2 linked regions of the Schizosaccharomyces pombe genome follow. The gene in region 1 interacts genetically with each later gene. Each region holds a gene or a part of one and is shown in the gene's direction. Other genes may lie near its edges.

Region 1 (5,375 bases):
AAATCCAAGTGTCGGTAACGACGATATCAGCATTTTTAACAGCAACCTTGGGGTCGTTAACAATTTCAAAAGTAGAACCGTTTTCGTTCGCAGCTTCGTTAACGATTGATAAAATATCGTCGCGAACGTTGACGTCCTTGGGCTTAGCAACGCTAGTATGAATACCAACCTTGGCATTTGCAATCATCAAATCATGTAAAACGTTATTGGCATCACCTACCCATGCAACTTTTAAACCGTCAAAGCTTTTGAAAGTTTCCTTAATAGTGAGTAAATCTGCTAACGCCTGGAGAGGATGAAACGTGTCACAAAGACCATTAATAACAGGACAAGAGGCATGTTTAGCGAGCGTAGCAACATCTGAATATTTGTTTACGCGAGCAACAATACCAGAAACCATACTTGATATAACTTTTGAAGTATCGTATAAAGACTCATTCACTCCTAATTGGATATCATCTTTACCTAAAAACATGGCATTGCCGCCAAGGCAACTGACAGCACTTTCGACTGATACACGAGTACGAGTGCTACGCTTACTGAAGATCATGGCGACATTCTGAGACGACAAACCACTCATTTGAACAGAACGGCGATTCTGAAAATTCTGCTTATAAGCTTGTTTAATTTCAGAAGACCGATCGATCAACTTTACAATCTCTCCGCGACTAAGATCACGAATGGATAGTAAATGACGAGGAAATTTTTTGAAAGACATTTTCAATTGCAAACTGAATAATTCTTCTCGACTAAATATATCAAAAATACGGTTTTTGTAGTCGACTACAAGGAACCCACAAGTTACTGGTAATTTCTTAGATATTCAGGGTGAGATTGCATATAGCCGATATCTAGTTCTCTCTCAGACTGCGAGATTGGCGCCGTAATATATCGTATGCGGATTTTCGACGAGATGGAAAATTTTTACATTATCGTACACTAGAGTTCAGTTGCAAACAAGCTAGTACGTTGATGAAATATGATAAAACAAGTCAAAAATTAAAAACTACTCATAAACATTCTATTTCCTTTCTTTTTCTTATGTTATTCATGGTAATATTGATACAGAACGTCAGAATACTTATCAGCAATAGCTTTTAAATACCAAAATCGTTAATTGATTAGCAGTAAAAGAATATTCATGGGTTTAGCATTTAATTATAGAACTAATGAAAAGGGATGAATTTTTTTCGACCTTGTAATATTTTTTTTATTTACCACCCATTCTTTAAAGAACCAATACATTGTAAATAAAATGTATCTAAAAAACGTGTAGTTATTTTTTTTGTTTATTCAATTATCTCTTGACACTATATTCAAGCGAGCTGAAATAAAACCAATTGTGTTACTATATTGATAACTCAGCATGCTTGTGAAATCAACAACTACCATGAAATGAACAATGAGTTCACAGATTCGCTATATTACAAGCTTACACTTACAGTATTGCATAAAGCGAAACAAGTTTTAACGAAAGAGAAGGGCTTCTTGCCAAATTTTTTTTTTTTTTTTTTTTTTTTTTTTTTTTAACGAGATTATCTTAGATAATAAATTTTATGATAAGTGCTTTTGTCTCATCAGGGTCATTGGGACTATTCAACGCGAAATCAAATAGAAAACAAAATATTGTTTCAAAAGAATGCTTTCATGTATAAATCAAGATATTGAACTGGCTTGCATAGAAATAATGAATATTGTACTGTGTCAGTTAGGACTAGTATTAAATAATGTATATACAAATAGATTCATTGTCGGCAAATGAGTTGCTTTTACAGTGTCATTTATATAGCTTTAATTCATTAAATGTCCATGTCTCACGTTTGCAGCACTTTCATGTAAACTGTTGGTTTCCGATGTAATTTTCAGCCAACAAGTAACATTATCGATCTCATCTTTTTGAGTGATTATCTCCAGAGCAAATCCCTAGATACAGCAATCAAATTTTAACGAATTATAGCTACGTTTACGAAGCAAATGATTTTCCAATTTTGAAACCAACCAAACTGCCTTCTACCAACTACAGTAAATCATAGAATATCACTAGAATTTGGCAATGCTTATTGAATTGCAACAAATTGTCAAGTCCGGTCTTGTACGGAATGGAGCGAAACACTGTACGAAAAGGAGCTTACTATGTTCCAATGCATCAGTCATTGCAAGCAAACGTTTTCAAGGCAGTTTTGCCCCGGGTCAACAACAACCGTTAAACCCACTCGCGAAACCAATTGAACAAGATCGTGATGCCATCATTAGAATTCTTTCCTCCATCGGAAGCCGTCGTGAAGTTGAGCAATACCTACGATACTTTACTTCCTTCGAAGCTCAACGTTTCGCTATTATCAAGGTTGGTGGTGCCATTATCACCGACGAATTAGACACATTGGCACAAAGTCTTGCCTTTTTGAATCATGTGGGTCTTTATCCCATCGTTGTGCATGGCGCTGGTCCCCAATTAAACAAAATTCTTGCCAGCAGAAATGTTGAACCCGAGTATAGCGATGGTATTCGAATCACCGATGCCGAGACTCTTTCTGTAGCTCGTAAAGTTTTCTTAGAGGAAAATGCGAAACTTGTAGATGCTTTGGAAAAGTTGGGAACTCGTGCTCGTCCCATTACAGGTGGTGTATTTCAGGCAGAGTATCTCGACAAAGAAAAATACAAGTATGTTGGCAAGATTGTCAAGGTAAACAAAGCTCCTATTGAACACAGTATTCGTGCTGGAACCCTCCCTATTCTTACGTCTATGGCCGAAACTGCTTCTGGTCAATTGTTGAATGTCAACGCCGACATTACTGCTGGTGAGCTTGCTCGCGTATTGAAGCCTCTAAAGGTGGTCTATCTCAATGAAAAAGGTGGACTTATCAACGGTGAAACAAAGAAAAAAATTAGCAGCATCTATTTGGATAGGGAGTACGATGGCCTCATGAAGCAACCATGGGTCAAGTATGGTACGAAGCTCAAAATCAAAGAAATCAAAGAGTTACTTGATACTCTTCCCCGTACATCTTCCGTAGCCATTATTAGTACGAAGGATTTGCAAAAAGAGCTTTTTACGGAATCTGGCGCTGGTACTTTGATTAGTCGCGGTTTTGTCATCAACAAACATGACTCGTTGGATAGCATTCCAGACGCTGCTCTAGAAAATTTGATCATTCAAAAAAATTCTTTAGCCGCACCTAGTGAAAGCTTGAAACAGTTCAAGGATACTCTGAAAGACAGAAAACTTCGTATTTATAGTGACTCTTTCAATGAATCTGTTGCTATTGTCGACACCACCGACTCATCCTTGCCAGTACTCTTAGCTTTTGGTGCCGCCGACAATAATTGGTTAAACAATGTTGTTGATAGCATATTAACAACATTAAAAGCAGACTTCCCTTCTTTGCTATGGCGTCTTCAACCTTCAGCCAAGAATCTGGAATGGTTCTTCTCTAAAAGCGAAGGTACTTTGTTTGCTAATAATTTTTACTACTTTTGGTACGGTGTAAAAGATTTGAATAAAATCTCCAAGTTCATTCAGTCTGACAAGCCATTTGCCGATGCTATCATTCAGACCCAATCCACTAAACCCCCTACTGCTTCATCTACCACCAACAACCCTTCCTCTTCACAGATCAATCAAAAACGAAGTTACTCAACTAGTTCTTTATTTTCAAAAAACAAAAAAATGAATCGTTCTTTGTTTTTAAAGGGTGGAAAACGATTTTTTTCTGCTGAGGCTCAGAAGACCCAAAAACCTTTGAAGGCGGTCTCATCGAAGCCAGCAAAAGTCGTTCTCCTTGGAGCCCGTGGTTATACCGGAAAGAACTTGATTGGATTGATTAACACTCATCCTTATCTCGAATTATCTCATGTTTCTTCTCGTGAGTTGGAAGGCACCAAACTTCCTGGCTACACTAAGAAAGAAATTCAGTATGTCAACTTGTCCACAGATGATGTTAAAAAATTAGAGGAAGAGGGAGCGGTTGATGCTTGGGTCATGGCCCTACCCAACGGTGTATGCAAACCTTATGTCGATGCTTTAACGTCTGCAAATGGTAAAAGTGTCATTGTTGATTTAAGTGCGGACTACCGTTTTGAGCCCTCGTGGCAGTACGGTCTTCCTGAACTAAATGACCGTGAAGCTTTGCGTAACTCGAAACGTATTTCCAATCCTGGTTGTTACGCTACTGGATCGCAAGTCGGTTTAACTCCCATACTCTCTTTGATTGACGGCCAGCCCTCTATTTTTGGTGTATCTGGTTATTCTGGGGCTGGCACTAAGCCCTCTCCGAAGAATGACTTGAATGTATTGACAAACAATTTGATACCTTACTCATTAACTGATCACATCCATGAACGTGAAATTTCTTATCGTTTAAAGCAACCTGTCGCCTTTATTCCTCACGTTGCTCAATGGTTCCAAGGAATTACTTTAACTATTAATGTTCCGTTAAAGAAAAGTATAACTTCCCGTGAGCTTCGTAACTTATACCAAGACCGTTATAATGGTGAGCCTTTAATTCATGTTCAAGGAGATGTACCTTTGGTCAAGGACAACGCACACAAGCATCATGTTTCAGTTGGTGGTTTTGGTGTGCACTCTTCTGGAAAGCGTGCAGTCATTGTAGTTACTATCGACAATTTACTTAAAGGTGCTGCTACTCAAGCTCTCCAGAATCTCAATCTGTCCTGTGGTTACGATGAATATGCCGGTATCCATTTGGATTGATTATATTTTTTGTAGCCCATTCTTTTGTTATTTTTATTCTTTCTGTGTACCATTTGGATATTTTTTTGTTACAAATATTTTGAACTAAATGCATTAATCCTTGCTATTAAATAGCCAGCAGTAAGTCGCGTACGAGTACCATCTTAAGTTTCCACACATTTTAATTTAGTTCTTGTTCAGTTATACAAAATTCCTCTGTCTGTGCGTCGCAGACTCTTCAAAACTTATATAAACAGATTTGAAGTTGCTTTCTATGGTATAGATTTTCATCAACGAAATAATTTTTGTACGTAGAATAAAGTGGTAAATAGTTAAGCTTCAATAATCTTAATTGCGTATAAGTTTTATTTCTTTATTTAAAATTATATATGTTACTTAAAAAATAAGCCCAAAGTAATAAGAAATCTCTATCCTTGCATTACTAACGCTTCCTCCATAAGTATATTTTTGGGGAGGAATTTTGCTACCGTCCGCCATTATCAACTAAGTGAGTTCGATGGGGGTAAATACTGCCGGAGACCCTCAAAAAAGCCAACCCAAAATAAATAAAGGTGGAATTGGGAAGGATGAGAGTTTTGGAGCCCTCTTTAAACCTGTTTATAAGGGCAAAAAGCTTGCAGACCCTGTTCCCACCATTGAAGACAAATGGCAGCTTTTACCTGCA
Region 2 (4,699 bases), on another chromosome or scaffold:
TCCCAGTCTCTTGTCCCCAGCAGCTCCATAGGCAAGGACCAAACAATCATAATTTTTAGTCAAATCCCGTAAAGAAACATCAGTCCCAACGTTTACGTTACCAAGGAAGCGAAATTGTGTAGACTCAGCAATTTCGGAAAACTTGTGTTCTACATGCTACAATAGAGGTTAGCTGTATAATAAATTTAATAAGATCCATTTTTAAACCAATCAATATTTCTTGGCTTAACAGACTTACCTTAACTTCTGGATGATCTGGGGCAACTCCATAACGTACAAGCCCAAATGGAACTGGGCGGGATTCAAACATATCTATTTTGACATTTGGGTCATTTCGTAAGAGTCTGTGGGCTGTGTAAAAAGCAGCCGGCCCAGAACCGATGATGCCGACTACAGGTGAAGAAGTTTGAGTGCTATATGTTCTTTTAATGAATCGTGATAGCATCCTTTCTTAGCCTTAAGATGAAAGAAAAACAAAAAATGATTGAAATGAAGAAGTGAAGGATATCTTCGTGATTGTAAATCTGATATAAAACTAGCAGCAATTATCATTAACAACTGGACTCTCCTCAAAACGAAAAGAAAAGCTACCAATGCTTAATAAAACTGATTCATTAGTTTTAAAGCTTTAAATGTTTAATCTCAATAAACTGTTTGGTGACACCTATACAACTAGTGAATTTTATAGCATTGGATGAGTGGTCAGGTTCAAGCAGCCAAGCCTTTTGAGAGCAAAGCATTTATATGATAAGATCAGTCAGTATTTAGAAAAAGGAAATTTCTTATTAAATCAAAGGTAATTACAAACAGGAAAGTTGAATCAAACGCTACAACAGAACTTTTGCTGATCGTTGCTTACGATATTACCAGCAACAAACATCTCATATAGTAAAGTGCAAACCTTCAAATAAGTGTTTTATGTTGTTATTATGAGTGACTTAAGCAGCTTCAAACTGATTTCTGCAATGATTTTTTTATGATATTTCAAATAACTAGTTAGATGATTGTGGCTCAAATGGTTAATTTGAAAACGATATATTTAAATTTCTTAAAAATAATTAATCTCTGCTTATTCAATCATACTTATTTATAAAGATGCTAAACCTAGCTACTTGAAAGTGTTTTCTAATTCCTACTATTATAATGATAAAACAAAAAATAAGAATTTATTACATTCAAAATAATTCTATTTATAAAGGTCAATTACTCTTTCACGTTTAAAGAACTGTTGTAAGACCAACAAATTGTAACGCGGTAAGCTTTATCTTTGCGAGGACTTTAAAAAGGCGTAAGATTCAATTAACAAGGATGTATTTTAATGTAATTCCTGGATTGAAGTCAATTACTATACGTATTTTCTATTCTGTTTGCTTTAATTACTGAATAATATTTGCACATGCTATTGTTTATAGTATTATATCTACTACCGCGAAAACATTAATTATGTATATCAAATAATGAATATTTACGTGTCGTTAAAGTGTTTTAGCAATTGTAGAAACAAAGTATGTGGTACTATAAACCGGTTCCATCAATAAGTTGTGTGACAGCCAACCATCTTCTGCCAGCCACCAATAAATTCAATCGTACCGATTTTCGCTATATTGAGTGTTTTTGCACTCTATATACTTAATTAAGCCAGGTGTAATACGCTACATAGATAATTCAAGACACTTCGACGAGTTAAGGTGCTTTACTAGTGTTCTTTATTGAAGTTCTTTGTTTTAAGAAGTTAATGTGTTAGAGATACGTTAGTAACTGCACTTGTTGCTTTGTCTTACTCATTCTACGAGTTTTTCGTGAATTAAGACGATTGGTATTTATCTTTTTAGATATTGCAACTAAGCCTCGTGTTTAGCCGTTCGTGTTCCTTTCGATTGTAAAACTTTTTATTTTTTTCTTTCCGTTCCACTCTTCAACTTGACGTCAATTTGTTTTACTTCCCTGTTTCGTCTCCTGCTCACCTCTCATATAAGTTTAATTCCCCATTTTACCGGAGACTACTCCGCTCCCTTTCTATTTTATTTCTACTTATCTTGGTTACGATTTTGTTAAGCTGTACATCAAGGTATTGGAAGTTTTCTTTAATCCGCATCTTTATCGCCTCTTAATATTTAGATTTTCGATTTGAAATTCTTTAGCTTAAATTATTGTCAGTTTCTTTAACAGCTTTGTTTTTAGGAAACTGGTATTTGTTAGATCCCGGCATAGTTACAATTTTTGTCATTGTCGTTTTTTTAAACCTGTCACCAGTGAGATTGCATTGATCTCTTATCTAATTGGCAAAGGCCTTTACGTTTCCAGTTTTCTTTTTAAACTAAATTGCCTTTCTGTAGACTTTTTTTCGTTTTTCAATTAAGATTCATTGCAAAATGAATTCTATTCCTGATTCCTATTCCTTGAAACAAGGCTTTCCCGAAGGTTTAGGAGAATATGTTGATCCCTCTGGCAATCCTAATTCTCAGGTACGGATAGGTTATGGTCAAGATTCTGTTTCTCGCTTCCAACAACCAGTCCCCGATGTTGATCCAACTGCTGTCAATCACTACAACGCTAGTGCACCCATTGAGGTTGCTAGTCCATTTGATAATGTTACTCAAGGTCTTGTTGGCAGTGATGCACAAGCCCTTGCTGAATATTGGCAAAAAACCATCGATACATTGGAACATGACGATCAAGCTGTAAAAACTCTGCATCTTCCCTTAGCTCGTATTAAGGTATGCCACTTTTTCTGAATTAATTACTAACTATTGATTATGCAGAAAGTTATGAAAACTGACGATGATGTGAAGGTACGTTACTTTGAGTATTCGAATACTTTTTGACATTAACTTTTACTAATTTTTTTAGAATAAAATGATCTCGGCAGAAGCTCCTTTTCTGTTCGCTAAAGGAAGTGAGATATTTATTGCAGAGCTTACTATGAGGGCTTGGCTTCATGCCAAAAAAAATCAACGAAGGACACTACAAAGATCCGATATTGCAAATGCAGTATCAAAATCTGAAATGTATGATTTCTTAATTGATATTATATCTAAAGATAACAATAATTCCCGCGCATCTTCCAGTCAAGCTCATATGTCTGCTACTCAAGTTGCTGCTATGGGTGGTATGAATGGTTTACAACCTTTCCCCACTCAAGCTGGCTTACCCAATCAAGGGTTTCCAATGCCAACTGGTAGTCAACTTCCATTTTCAAATCAACAGTCAAGTCAGCCTTCAATGCAGTATTCCTCTCATCCATCCAGAATGCAGCAAATGCAAGATATTGATCAATCTATGTATAAACAGCAGCGTCTGGGCTCTGAATATCCACAACTACAAATGTCAGATAACTCCGGAAATGTTAACCAGATGAATATGCAAAGACCGGTCATGGTAGCACCGTACATGGCTGAGCATTTATACCGTTATCCACCTACGCATCTCGAATCTGGATCCTCAGCTTTCCGATTGCAGTCATCCCCTATGGGATATCAAATGCCCCAATTTCAAGGTAATATGCGACCTAATATGCAACAGTCTCAAATGTTTGATCCTTCTGCATATGGTATGTCAAGAAGACCTGGATCTCCTCGGCAATTCGATCAGCAACAGAGACTTTATTCACAGCCAAACGCTATGATGTATCAAACTCAGCAAGGGCGTCAGGGAAACCCAATGCATCAGCAGTTTTCCCAGCAACAAAACCCTCTTTCTCGCTATTCGCAACAACCCCAGTAATATCTTTTAATACCTGTTGATTTAGAACATGCAATTTAAATAATTTCTATTAAATTATTTGGGAGGATCCAACAGTGATGCATTTTTAGGTGGAACTTTCAATTTGTCAATTTTCGGTTTATCTACAAAAGCTTAAAGAAACAGTTGATTTTCATGACATGCTATGTCTAGTCATTGTTACTTTTTTTAAGCTATGTGTGGTTTTATTTTTTTAGCAAGACCGAAAAAGAAATGACGGAAGCTTTTCATATTTGCTGCCTCTTTATTTTCCCATTGCGGGACTGCTAGTGTAGAGTATTTTGTTTTACTTAAACATATATATGCATTTGAAATTCATTGTCGATAACATTCTACCTATTATGGATATTTACGGGTTGTCAATGTAAATAAATGATGGCATGTTGCAATCGGTTACCAAGAAGCAATTAGCTTTAAACAACGTTTAGGTTTACTTTATAATTAAATTTATTCGTATATGTACTTGAAAATTTGCACTTTTGATGATTTTTTAATTTAAAATCTCATAAATTTTAACTTCTATGTAAAAAGGTATTTAGGCTCATTATGCAAGGAAATTACAGCTGCTTTCATTCCCGACTGCATAAAAAACCACCATTCCACGGCCACCATACTCGAGGTAAAAATGAGTACGGCGGTGCGAGGCAGTTTAATTTACTCCTTCACCAGAACTACGCAGTTGATTATGAACAACAGATAGGCAGAAAGAGGAGAAACAAATTATTCTTATACTAAAGCTTAGAATTCTTTAATCTACCCCCAAACAACAACGAATGGCATCTACTAGCTTTTAAGCAACTTCTGTTCTGCAGAAAAAAACTACGTAAAAAAAGTTGCTAAAACTATCAGTTGCGACATCGCTGCTAACAAATTATCGACTAAACTTGTCGATAATAACGAATTCCCCTAGTAAGCCAAACATAACATTGAGAGGAAACGTAACGATTAAATATTAATT

Evidence for each region. Genes that interact genetically often act in the same process or in processes that back each other up.
Region 2: mutations in arg11 (region 1) and php5 together harm fitness more than expected from each alone (negative genetic interaction), as found in Schizosaccharomyces pombe (one large-scale study listed by BioGRID).

The regions. Positions count from the first base shown.
Region 1 is NC_003424.3:2,269,355-2,274,729, reverse strand, and holds arg11 (N-acetyl-gamma-glutamyl-phosphate reductase/acetylglutamate kinase), read left to right. Parts: upstream 1-2,005; 5' UTR 2,006-2,053; coding exon 2,054-4,711; 3' UTR 4,712-4,822; downstream 4,823-5,375. Other genes in the region: ornithine carbamoyltransferase Arg3, read right to left, coding at 1-718; DNA-directed RNA polymerase III complex subunit Rpc2, read left to right, coding at 5,208-5,375.
Region 2 is NC_003423.3:3,393,374-3,398,072, reverse strand, and holds php5 (CCAAT-binding factor complex histone fold subunit Php5), read left to right. Parts: upstream 1-1,566; 5' UTR 1,567-2,372; coding exon 2,373-2,717; exon of another isoform or gene 2,718-2,762; coding exon 2,763-2,792; exon of another isoform or gene 2,793-2,850; coding exon 2,851-3,723; 3' UTR 3,724-4,169; downstream 4,170-4,699. Other genes in the region: mitochondrial [2Fe-2S] cluster assembly NADPH-ferredoxin reductase Arh1, read right to left, coding at 1-156, 239-445. UniProt on the Schizosaccharomyces pombe protein: Component of the CCAAT-bound heteromer, php5 is essential for DNA-binding activity. It is essential for transcription activation of cyc1. It is the linchpin that binds to the subunit association domains (SAD) of php2 and php3 to bring these proteins together.